3 linked regions of the Struthio camelus genome follow. The protein of the gene in region 2 purifies or fractionates together with the protein of the main gene of each other region. This does not show direct contact. Links are inferred from orthologs where the notes say so. Each region holds a gene or a part of one and is shown on either strand. Other genes may lie near its edges. The genes, in order: RASSF6, STK3 and MAP1S.

Region 1 (3,743 bases), on a different chromosome or scaffold from region 2:
GGGAGCTTCGAAGATTCAGTGCATCCCTACTAGGCTTTTTAGAACATACCAAATACAGCAAACAATTAGGTGCTAAACAGTGCCTACCAACACAGGATTCATTTTTTTATTCCTGGTATTGATTTCTATTCTCTATTGAGAAAATAACTTTGATAAAATCACTACCTGTGATAAGACATTGGTAACTCTTAATATGGTCTGATTATCTCTGCTTGAAAAAAACTTACATTATTGAGCGGTATATAAACAGTGTATAACTGTCATGTAACCCACTTGCTTCCCTTTGCTTCCTTAGCTCTTTATGAGTTTAACTAATAAAAATAACGTATGTTAAAAATAGTCTCAATTTGTTCTCTGTCTGAACAAACAAGAATCATAGAAAATGGAGGGTTGCTAGAAGACAATTACAAGATTGGCATAAAAAAAGGTTTCTTCCTCATACTATAGAAAAGGAACAACCTATTTTTATTTGTCTGTAGTGGTCAGTATGAATAGCAGGAGTCCTACTAATAGTAAAGGTAACGTTTGCCTAAAAGATAATGGGTAACTATGCCTTTCTGTTGAGCTTAGCATCACTGAATGGAAGAGTATGCTTGGCTGTATTTGTCAGTTCATAACCGATGTACTTTTGAAATAAAGCAGTTCTCAAGTCACAATTGGTATATCAAATTTTATCAGAAACATTTATAAAACAACTGCTTTTTCTGATGCACTGATTTGCCAGAAAAGAATTTGGTGGACATTTTGTGGAAAACTCCAGCAACAGCAATTCGAAGTTTTGCAGCCAAGTATACACGTCGTATAAAAAATGACTGGAGAAATTTTGCAGAAGTGTCATCCTAAAGAAAAGAAAAATTTTGACAGAAATTTATTCTCTGTAACTCTAACTTTTAGGACTGCTGTTATTTTTTTCATCTCCTCATCCCGTTTTCCGTGATTGTCTTCAAAATTTTCTTTCTTTTAATCTGTCTTACCATCTGTTCATGATATATTTCTCCTTCAACTACCCTACTTTTAAGGTCTTTTAAGGTTACTTTCATTCCTTTTCCCATCTCATCTGCCAAAGTGATTAGTATGAGAATAAGAATTAACAGAACACTTAATACTGGCATTTAAAGTGTCAGCATTTAGCTTGAGGATCTGTGATCCCAGGCAGCGTACAACAGCTAAAGAAATACTGATGATTTGGAGTCATAGCGTGAAGCTGCTTATAGATAAAGAACAATGTCTCATTTTCCCCTTTAGCTTTGTAACCATTCTAACTTTTTGCTCTAAATGGAAGATCAGATATAGGATATAGATATATGCATTAGCTTAAAAATAGTGAGTTAAGATCAGTATAATAAAAGACAGGTAACTTTTATTAAATTATTGTTTCTATATAGGCATAGTCTCATTTGGAGTGCTAACTATTAGACTAAGTAAAGCACTAGTTAATGTACTAGAGATAACAACTTTGATTTAACGAAAAGTTAAATCTAGCCACATTTAAATGTCTCTGTTTTTACGGCAACATCAATATCAATACCAGTCCTAAAAAGAAAGATACTCAACATATGGACAATTTTTTATAAATGAGCTTAAATATTCAATTTATATCCATCACCTCCAGTTCTTTAGATGCTGGATAAGAGAGATTAAAAATTAAAGATACATCTTTGTTCTATCTTAAAGATTTATCTGTTTCGGGACCCTCAATTTTTATGGGACTTCCTAGGTCCTCACACATTCAGTTTTCTTGAAACAGGATACTAGTAAGAAATAATCAAGAAAGGAAGGGACAGTGTATACAGCTGTGTCAATAAATCTTGGGTAAATATCCTTTTTAATAAGGCTTTACAATTAAGATAGATAGTCAATACCAGAGAGTGCATGAAGTTTAGTGTTGCTACTGTTCATAAAATAAGAGATGGCAAGTGAAAGGGGACAATATATGTAGGATCCACAATAATGGAAGATAGTAAGATTCTAGATGGAAAAATGATTTAAAAAAACACTACACATGCTGTCTGTGGACGCACCTAAACCATGTTCCTTATATGAACAGTGAATTGCTCAAAAAATTGCCATAGTAAAAACTGCAGTTTCAATAATCCACTGTATCTTCGGAAAGCATTCACGAGCTTCAAAAAGGAATTTACTAATTGTTAGTAGCTTCAATATTGCAGATGAGGTTGCCATTTTTACTTTGGCGTGTTTTGTACATGTTATTTTAGACTTCATTTTGTTTTCTTTCCTCCTTTGCACATAGTCAAAAATCTAGCGTAAAATAAGACAGAAAGCAGCAATAAGTGCGCTGCAAGGAAGGGGACGAGACATCCACTGGGAAAACAAGGAGATAGGGCTGAAAATCACGAAGCGCACTGATGCTTTCCTCTGTAACGCTCACTAGGCATCGGATTTGCCCATACCACGTTTTAGCGGGAACTGAAGTTCACATGGCTCAAAGGATGCCAATGCAGAGACGACTGGCCCGAAAGCCTTGCCAGCCTTCCCGCCCAGGGACATCACTTGCAGAAGTTCCCGCCACAATTCCACAAAACACTGCAGCGTAGCCCGGAGGGAGCCGTGCTGCTCACCCTTCCAGCACGCAAACCCACAGGTTCGCCTTCCCTGGCCGCGCAGTTTGAATTTTGCTGTAAGGTGTGTTCATCATGCCCCTGAGGCTCGCCGCCTCTGTCACGGCGACCAGCGGCAACTCCCGCTACCCGGCAACGCCGGGGCCATCGCGCTGCCCGCCAGACACCTCCTCGCCGCGCCGCGCCGCGCCGCCCCTGCCCTGCCCTCCCCGGCGCGGCCCCGGGCTCGCTGCTTGCCTTGGCTCCTCCCTTCGTCGCTCAGCTGGCGCGCCGGCGCTTCCGCTCGGCGAGACCGAAATGGCGGCAGCAGCCTCCTTCTCCTCTTCCTCCTCCTGTGTGCTCCGCTCTGGCTTGCTGCCGCTGAGGAGGTGGCGAGTCCTCTCGCGCCCAGCGCCTGAAGCCGCCTACGGCACCAGCAGCTCCCCGCGCAGCGCCGCCAGGTACGCGACACCTCGGAGCATTTGCATCCTCTCTCCTCCTCCTCCTCCTCCTCTTCCCGGCACGGCAGGCAGCACCCTTTCGGGAGTGGCGAGCCGAGCGCGCGGGGCGGCCCGCGGCCGTTTAACGGTCGCCCTGGAAGCTCGCGAGCGCCTGAGACGACCTCCCCCCCCCCCACCCTCACGCGCCGCGGCCGTTTAACGGTCGCCCTGGAAGCCCGCGAGCGCCTGAGGCGACCCCTCCTCACTCTCGCGCGCTGCGGCCGTTTAACGGTCGCCCTGGAAGCCCGCGAGCGCCTGAGACGACCTCCCCCCCCCCACCCGCACGCGCCGCGGCCGTTTAACGGTCGCCCTGGAAGCTCGCGAGCGCCTGAGACGACCTCCCCCCCCCCCCCACCCTCACGCGCCGCGGCCGTTTAACGGTCGCCCTGGAAGCCCGCGAGCGCCTGAGGCGACCCCTCCTCACTCTCGCGCGCTGCGGCCGTTTAACGGTCGCCCTGGAAGCCCGCGAGCGCCTGAGACGACCTCCCCCCCCCCACCCTCACGCGCCGCGGCCGTTTAACGGTCGCCCTGGAAGCCCGCGAGCGCCTGAGGCGACCTCCCCACCACCACCCTCACGCGCCGCGGCCGTTTAACGGTCGCCCTGGAAGCCCGCGAGCGCCTGAGGCGACCCCTCCTCACTCTCGCGCGCCGCGGCCGTTTAACGGTCGCCCTGGAAGCCCGCGAG
Region 2 (3,743 bases):
ATTCCAGGATCTTATGGAGCTTTGAAGCGTTCATCTGAAACTCTTGCTACCTCTAAATAAGCATCTTATGCTATATATACACCATATATATATATGACATATATAGGTCCCTCTCAGTAATTGATCCTGTAGATAGAAGACACAGTAAGTAAAGAAATCTGATGATCATATCTATTTTGCCAGGTAAACATGGTGCTTCTCTTGCACCACAGCACCCATGGCAGGTACTTAGACCAAAAAAAAAAAAAAAAAAAAAGATCACTCACAAAATAATCTGCATTCTTTCCAGACTTGTAGAACAAGCATGTAGCCTAGCAGAATAGTTGGCAACACCACAAAACACTTCAAAAACTGCAAAAGACAATAGACAAAAGGGATACACGGTGCAGGCTGTATACTGTTCCAGTGCTCCGTCACCCTCACAGTAAAGAAGTTAGTAGTTAAAGTTAGAAGAACTTAGTTAGTAAAGAAGCCCAGAGGTGAGGTCCAGAGGAGAAGAATAAAGAAAAACCTAAATATAGAATAAATATTAATTATATAAATAATAAATATAAAGAAAGAAGAATATAGAAAAGCCTAAAATACAATCCACTTTGCAGCACTGTCTCTCTTGGCAGTAGCATGCTCTCTCACTACAAGTGAGGTAGAGAAAGGCAGCCTCAATGCTTTAAATAGCGATACTGTCTCTGCTTGCTTTTCCCTTACCTTAAACACTGGTAAATTTAGTTGGCTGGAAACAGATAGTTTAATAGTTATATTCACCAAGAAGAAAATCAGGGCTGTTGTCCTTCAAATTTTACTACTTCTTGCAGTTCTTCTGCAACACTGCAGTATCTACTGTCCTCCTCAGCATAAAAACAGGAGCCAGTATCTACCAGAAAACAGTATGAGTCTTCATTTTCAAAGACAGTTTCTAGCTGTCATAATGGCAAAGAAAAGCTTGAGAAGCCTAAGATAAACATATCCAAAACGGTCAAATAGTTCAAAAAGCAAAAGACTGCTAAAGCCAGTACTTCTCAAAGTCTCATAACTAGGTCAACAAAGACTGCAGAAAGTATATTGGCAAGAAATATTGTCAATAACACCAGCATGAGTTCATTTGCAAAAATGGAATTTATCAATAGAATCTCATCTAGCTCCTTCCACATTGCGTTTATCTCCAAATTAAAAATTATCTCGTGCATTTCTTTACCACCCATGTTCCTCAATGTATTGGGGTCAGCATGTCCCTCTCAGGGCTAGGAGCTTCAATACACTGAAAACAAAACAGGGCCAAACATTATAAAGCTCATCATCAGTCCTTAAGGCAAATTAAACATATACTAGGTGTCTTCTCTCACATGTTCAACTTGGAGAAGACAAAATTTTATTCTCATATTGACCACAATGCAGCTTCTGTCGTTGCCACACTACCAGGCTTGCAAATCAGGAGCCAAAGATTAAGACACAAGAAATAAAGTAGGAAGTAAAAATGGATTTATTATCTTCCAGCATAAATTTATACCGTGCAGTTTCTAGATTTTTCACTAAATTAACAGGAAGCAAGAATTTAGAACTCTTTAGAGTTCTAAAGTGGTAAGAACACATGTATGCTATATAACTACTTTCAGTATACTATCTAACTACATCTAAGAAAGGACTCTTCCAGTTTAAGTTTATCCATGTAATTAAAGAAGAATAGTTTTGTGTATGAAGACCACAGTGCTATTTTTAAAGCAAAAGCTCAGGGGTTCACATCACTGCTTAAACTCAGAAGCAAAAACTTTTTCTTGCCCTGAGAAAGACTCATATTCTAAATATCCCAAAACATGACCGATTACTAAGAATGGTTATTCCAAACAGCAACGCATACACTGGGGGAAAGAAACTCGGTTTTGCCTCTTCCCACTCCCTGATTTGCAACTGCAAGTATGCAACTCCCACCCCCACAAACACCTCTCTACCAGCAAGACAGAAGGGCACTTTCTAACGCAGGAAGACGTGAACTGCTTCTACTGGTTTCTCCCTTAGACCTGAACTATGAAATAGCACGCAGACTTTAAGGCCGAAAAGGGCCGCTCTCTAGCTCCAGGCTCACTCACTCCCCGTTAAAGTTTTCCTCTTCTAACTCAAGTCAGCGCTCGCATCCCCCGAGGGTCGCTCGGACGCGTACTCAGGACGACGATTTCGGGAGCGCTACCGCGCGCTAGCAGTTACCCGGTGCGGAGCACCGCCGCGGCCCGCGGCGGCAGCCGGGCCGCCCCTCCGCGGCCCAGAGCCCGCTACAACGACGGGACGCCGCGCAGCCGCCGCGCCCCCATTGTCCCCGCGCCCCAGCCCGCCGAGGGGCCGAGCGGGGCCCGCGCCGCCGCCGCCGCCGGCCCTGCCCGCGCACCACGCCCCCTCCCAGCGCCCAGGGCTCCGCTCCCGCCGGGCCCCGCGCCGGGCCAAGGCCGCGCCCGGCCGCCTCCCCCCCGCCCCGTACCGACGGTACCGCCGCGCTCGCTTCCGGGAGGGGCAGGAGCGGCACGCGAGGGTCGTTACCTTTTGGGCGCTGCCTGCTCCATGATGGTGCCGCCGGCTCCCGGCGCCCCCGCCGCCGCCCGGCGCGGCTCGCGGACGGCCCTGGCCAGCGGCGGGCTGGGCCCGCGGAACTCCGCGCAACTTTCCGCCAAACTCGCTGGCCCTTTAAGTGGGGCTCGCGCCCTCCCTCGGCCGCGGCCGCTCCCGGCTTCTCAGCCAAACGCCACTACCGCTGCCTACCCGCCTGCCGGTGGGGGCCCGCCCTCTCGCCCCTCTCATTGGTTACAAACCGTACCATAACAAATGCTGATTGGCTGGGAAGGAAGTCACCCAGCATGGCAGCCAGCAGGAGACCGAGACTCCGCCCACCACGGGGCCGGGGAGGGAGGGTGCGCCTCACGGGAAGTAGCGGGCGGCATGGCGCCCGCGGGAGGGGGGAACCGACATGCAGGCGGCGGCGCATGCCGGCCCGAGGCCCCGCGCTCCCGGCATGCTCCGCGCGGCGGTGCCCCGCGGGGCGCGCCGGGAGACGTAGTCTTCCCCACGGCCTCCGCGGAGGGGCGGCAGGAGGGGCCGGCCCGGCCCGACCAGGCCAAACCGAGAGCCGGGCCGGAAAGCCGGGGGGCGAGGGACGGCCGTGTCCCCCCCACCCCAGCGCAGTCGCCTCACCGCCCGGCTCCGGGCAGCCGGCAGCCTGTGCTTTTCTTCCTCATCTGCGCAAGCGGACAGGGTTGCGGCCGAGGGGCAGCCGCAGGCCGGCGCGAAGCTGCTTCCACCCCCCCCCCCTCAGGAAGTTATATCCTTTCTTCTATGGGCAAGCGGCTCCCGAGCAGAGGGGGCAGGAAGGCCGTAGTCAGTCCCGCAGGGAGCGGGAGCCGCTTTCCGAGGCTGGCTCCCGGCTCACAGCACGGCTTGGAGATGAGTAACGCTGGCAGTCGACTGTTTTTAATGCCGAAGCATATGAGTTATCCTACGAAACTGTAGGAAGCAATTATGTAATTATTCAAGAGGGTTTAGGCTGCTGAGTACTGTGTGACAGTTATCTGCAATCTCTCCCCATTACAGCTTTAAATCTCATGCTGTTTACATCGTGAGTTCAGATGCTAACTTGCAGAGCATCCAAGTAGACCCAGTCAAGTCAATACAAGAAAAGCTTAAACGTTCAAGCCAGTTCCTGTATTAATGGAAGTAAAAAACTTGGGTAAGATCTGTAAAGGTACTGGGATATTCTAGCTTCACTT
Region 3 (3,743 bases), on a different chromosome or scaffold from region 2:
CCCACAGGCACCCCCGCGGCGTCCCAGCACGGTCAGTTCCCACGCCGCGCTGGAACAAGCTGTCCTTTCTCCGCGACACAGCCGGAGCCACCCCAGCCCACGAGACGAGAGTGGGAGCAGACAGCCCCGCAGACACTGCTGCATCCCCAGGGCAGCCCTGGCCTGCCCTGGGGGACACCCCAGCTCCCCACATAGGTGAGAGCCAGCCCCACTTGGAGGAGCGGCAAGGGACACAGGCAGCCCGGCCAGGCACGAGCAGCTCCCCCAGCCCTCAGCCAGGACCTGCCCTGAGGCCTGGGACAGCGTCAGGGAGGGAGCACACAACTAGCTCAGCACAAAAGCTGTTTTATAGACACAGCTAAATGTTTGCCCAGCTCAGCAAACAGCAGTCAGCGAGTGCAAGACCCCGGCTTGCGGCAGTGCTGCAGTTGCCTCACTCGCACCCCGTCCCCTCTGGAGATGCATGAATTAAACACAGCCACCGGGTCAGGCGAGGACCCTGCAGACGCGTGCTCCAGCCCACGCTCACTCTGCGACAGAGAAAGCACCAGCCAGTGTCCTTAGCGAGCCAGCTGCACCTGGGGCTGCGGGGTGCCATCTCCAGCAGGCTCCAAGGGCTCAGCCCCAGCCAGGGGAGGCAGGGGTTCACCCCTGCTCCCAGACTCACCTTTCACGATGCTGGAGAAGGTGGCTGAGTGGCGGGACACAAAGAGCTTTAGCTGTTCATCCAGGTTGCAGGCTGTGAGGTCGATGTCCCAGGAGCGGATACCTGCAAGACAGGGCAGGAAGGATCAGCCCTGGGTGCAAGGTCAGCCCCAGGGCACGTGGGAGGCACGAGGCACCCATGCCTGCCAGAGGGCTCCCAATGCCCAGCTGCCCTCCAGCACCCTGAGCCACTGCTGCACCCCAGGACACGTTAGCACCCATCGTCTCCATCACCAGGTGCCATCAGTGCCCAGTTTCAGCATGCCACAAGTGACAGCGAGCACCCAGCCCTAGCACTGACTGCAGAAATGCCGGGAGGCACCATGCCCCGTGGCAGCAGCCCCCTCCCCGTGCCGCAGCACGCTCGGGGGCCAGGCCTGCCTCGCATCACCACCTCCCTAATCCCTGGCATGGCACCGGCTTATGTAAGACCCAGGGAATCCGGCTGAGCCGGGGATGCTGAGCAGCCGCTGCAGCTCCTGCAGTCAGCGCCGCACTCCCCACCCAGCCATGCTGGGGACCGCCCCCCACGTCTGCCCTCATTCCCCCCCACCTTGCCCTGAGCCTGGGGGACAAGAGCAGGGGCCGCGTCAGGCCAATGCCACTGGCCAGCATGGGGACCTGTGAGGCCTTTTCACAGGAGGGAGCAGAGCTGCTTCAACCTCTCCGCGGCTGCAGGAGGGCCAGACCCAGGCCCGGGGCCTCCTGCTCCTCGCAGCCACACGCTGACTCGCAGCGCGGGCTGGGCCCCGGACTGCTTTGGCCGAGCTGCGTTCAGCTGGAGCGAACGGGTCCCCAGGCGCCTCTCACACCGGTTTCCAGGCTGTGAGTCAGTCTGCAGCCTCCCATTAACGCTGGCAGCCCTCAGCCTTCCCCAGGGCCATGCTCCCGGCCCAGGCGAGCACCGGCCACGCTCGCGCCACCCCGCAGCAGGACCCCAGCCAGCACCAGGGAGACCCCAGCACCGACCCCAGGCCCAGCAGGTTTCCAGACTCCTCGCTGCCATCCAAACCCTAGCAGGATGCAGTGGGGTGGGGAGATAGGAACTGCACTGCGACCCCCGGCACGAGGCTGACGTCACCTCCCCGGGGGGTCCCGGAGACGTAGCCCGCTGCCAAGCCAGACCCCAGCAGGAACATCTGCAGCAACACCGCAAACGCCAAATAAACTCCGAGCTGGGGCAGCACCTGCCCCGAGAGCACGCCCAGCGCCGAAATCCATGGGCAACTGGAGGGATCACAAGGCTGGCAAACCTGCAGCTCCCGGCGCGGTTAGGCACAGCCCGCAGGACCCCCAGCGCTTCCTCAGGCAACTCCCAGATACGCGGCTGCGTTGCCGACCCATTGCGTGCAGCTGAGTAACATCCTCCCCGGTGTGGGGCTGGCCTGCCCGAGCCTGCAAGCACGGGCACGTGGAGACCCTCGGCACGGAGCCACCAGCCCCTCTCCCCGGGGAGGCAGAGCAGCACCCGCTCCCCGGCGCTCGCCCGCGCAGGTGTGTGGCTGGCTCCCCCGAGGCGTGCACCTTGCACGGTGACTCACGGCCGCACGGGCTCTGCCAGCGAAACACCGGCCCCTGGGGCTACAGCAGCACCTTTCCCTGCACCTCTTTAAAGACGGTAATTATGAGAATTAGCTGCGCTGGAGGACTCGGAGCGCCGCACAAGCCTCCGTACACCTCCAGCTCCCGTCAGACGGCGAATACCTGGCGCAGGTTCGCTCCTCCTTCATGCGGGCACCTCTCCCTGCTCCCAGGGCAGGGGTCTGGAAGTCCCTCGCCACCACGGGACAACGCACCAGCTGCAAACACTCAGGGATCCTGGCCCCAAAACACCAGCCACCCTCGTGGGGCTCTGCCACAGAGCCGGGCTCTTCGTGCGGGGATTCACCGGGAGCTCAGCCACCGGCACCGCCGGCGCGTTGGCCGACCGAGCCCGCCTGCAGCCATCCCCCCCTCCCTTCCTCCCCAGCCCGCCCAGCGGTTAACGGTCCCACAAACCCAAGGGCGATGGCGTAAGAGGCACCAGGGCATCGGCACTAGGGGGTCGACGCAGAGCGTCACGCGCTTTGCGCAACGTGCTGGGCGAACGTTGGGGCTCCGGCCCGGCGCGGCCGGGCGTTTTCCAGACCGTTTCCCAGGCAGTGCTGCCTCCTGCCAAGCTTTGGGCCTTCCCAGGGCTGGCGAGGTTTGGCCTCGTCCTCGCGAGGTACCGGAGACACTGGCGGCCCCGAGGAGCTCCCAGCCCCGCTGGGTGCGGGCTCCCACGAGGGCCAGAACGGCACTGCCCCAGGGACACGTTTCCCCACGGTTTAGGGGAGCTGCTCTGGCCTCCCAGTTGCAGCCAGGAAGCGAGGACGGCTGCAGGGGCAGGAAGGGGCTCCCCAGGGCACAGCCCCTGGGCAAGCCGAGCATCGCTCCGGCTGCAAACCAGCGCAGACCAGCACAAACCAGCACAGCATCCCCGTCCCTGCGGCTGCCCCAGGGCAGCTCCCGGGTGTCGACGAGGGGAGGGGGCAACTCCCACGGGTCCCCGGCCTGGGAGCCCGGGGGACAGATCCCAGGGGCCGGGGAGGGGGGGATACATCCCATGGGGCAGGTTGGGGGAGCAGGTCCCCAGGCTTTGGGGCAGCAGAGGGGGCAGATCCCAGGGATCCGAGGCAGATCCTGGGGGACCAGCTCCAGGGGGGCTGGGGCAGGAGGTAGGGGGAGATCTCATGGGTTGGGGGGGGCAGGACCCTGGGATCCAGGGGGACAGATCCTAGGGATCTGGGGCAGGAGATGGGGCAGATCCTGGGGACCCCAGCGAGCAGGACCCCAGGATCCAGGGGGGAAGATCCTAGGGATCTGGGGCAGGAGACGGGGCAGATCCTGGGGACCCCAGTGAGCAGGACCCCAGGATCCAGGGGGGAAGATCCTAGGGATCTGGGGCAGGAGACGGGGCAGATCCTGGGGACCCCAGTGAGCAGGACCCCAGGATCCAGGGGGGAAGATCCTAGGGATCTGGGGCAGGAGACGGGGCAGATCCTGGGGACCCCAGC

The links.
Region 1: the proteins of STK3 (region 2) and RASSF6 purify together in Homo sapiens (affinity purification with mass spectrometry; 4 studies listed by BioGRID and IntAct, counting the BioPlex papers as one, with this or other methods). This does not show direct contact. The link is inferred for Struthio camelus from reciprocal best matches to the Homo sapiens genes STK3 and RASSF6.
Region 3: the proteins of STK3 (region 2) and MAP1S purify together in Homo sapiens (affinity purification with mass spectrometry; 3 studies listed by BioGRID and IntAct, with this or other methods). This does not show direct contact. The link is inferred for Struthio camelus from reciprocal best matches to the Homo sapiens genes STK3 and MAP1S.

The regions. Positions count from the first base shown.
Region 1 is NC_090945.1:7,927,276-7,931,018, forward strand, and holds the start of RASSF6 (ras association domain-containing protein 6), read right to left. Parts: upstream 2,877-3,743; 5' UTR 2,817-2,876; intron 1-2,816. Other genes in the region: MTHFD2L (bifunctional methylenetetrahydrofolate dehydrogenase/cyclohydrolase 2, mitochondrial), read left to right, coding at 2,877-3,019.
Region 2 is NC_090943.1:147,191,246-147,194,988, reverse strand, and holds the start of STK3 (serine/threonine-protein kinase 3), read right to left. Parts: upstream 2,692-3,743; 5' UTR 2,547-2,691; coding exon 2,524-2,546; intron 2,484-2,523; exon of another isoform or gene 2,465-2,483; intron 2,303-2,464; exon of another isoform or gene 2,197-2,302; intron 2,040-2,196; exon of another isoform or gene 706-2,039; intron 1-705. UniProt on the Homo sapiens protein: Stress-activated, pro-apoptotic kinase which, following caspase-cleavage, enters the nucleus and induces chromatin condensation followed by internucleosomal DNA fragmentation.
Region 3 is NC_090967.1:6,689,578-6,693,320, forward strand, and holds the start of MAP1S (microtubule-associated protein 1S), read right to left. Parts: upstream 2,632-3,743; 5' UTR 2,050-2,631; coding exon 1,959-2,049; intron 1,835-1,958; exon of another isoform or gene 1,712-1,834; coding exon of another isoform or gene 1,675-1,711; intron 770-1,674; coding exon 668-769; intron 1-667. UniProt on the Homo sapiens protein: Microtubule-associated protein that mediates aggregation of mitochondria resulting in cell death and genomic destruction (MAGD). Plays a role in anchoring the microtubule organizing center to the centrosomes. Binds to DNA. Plays a role in apoptosis.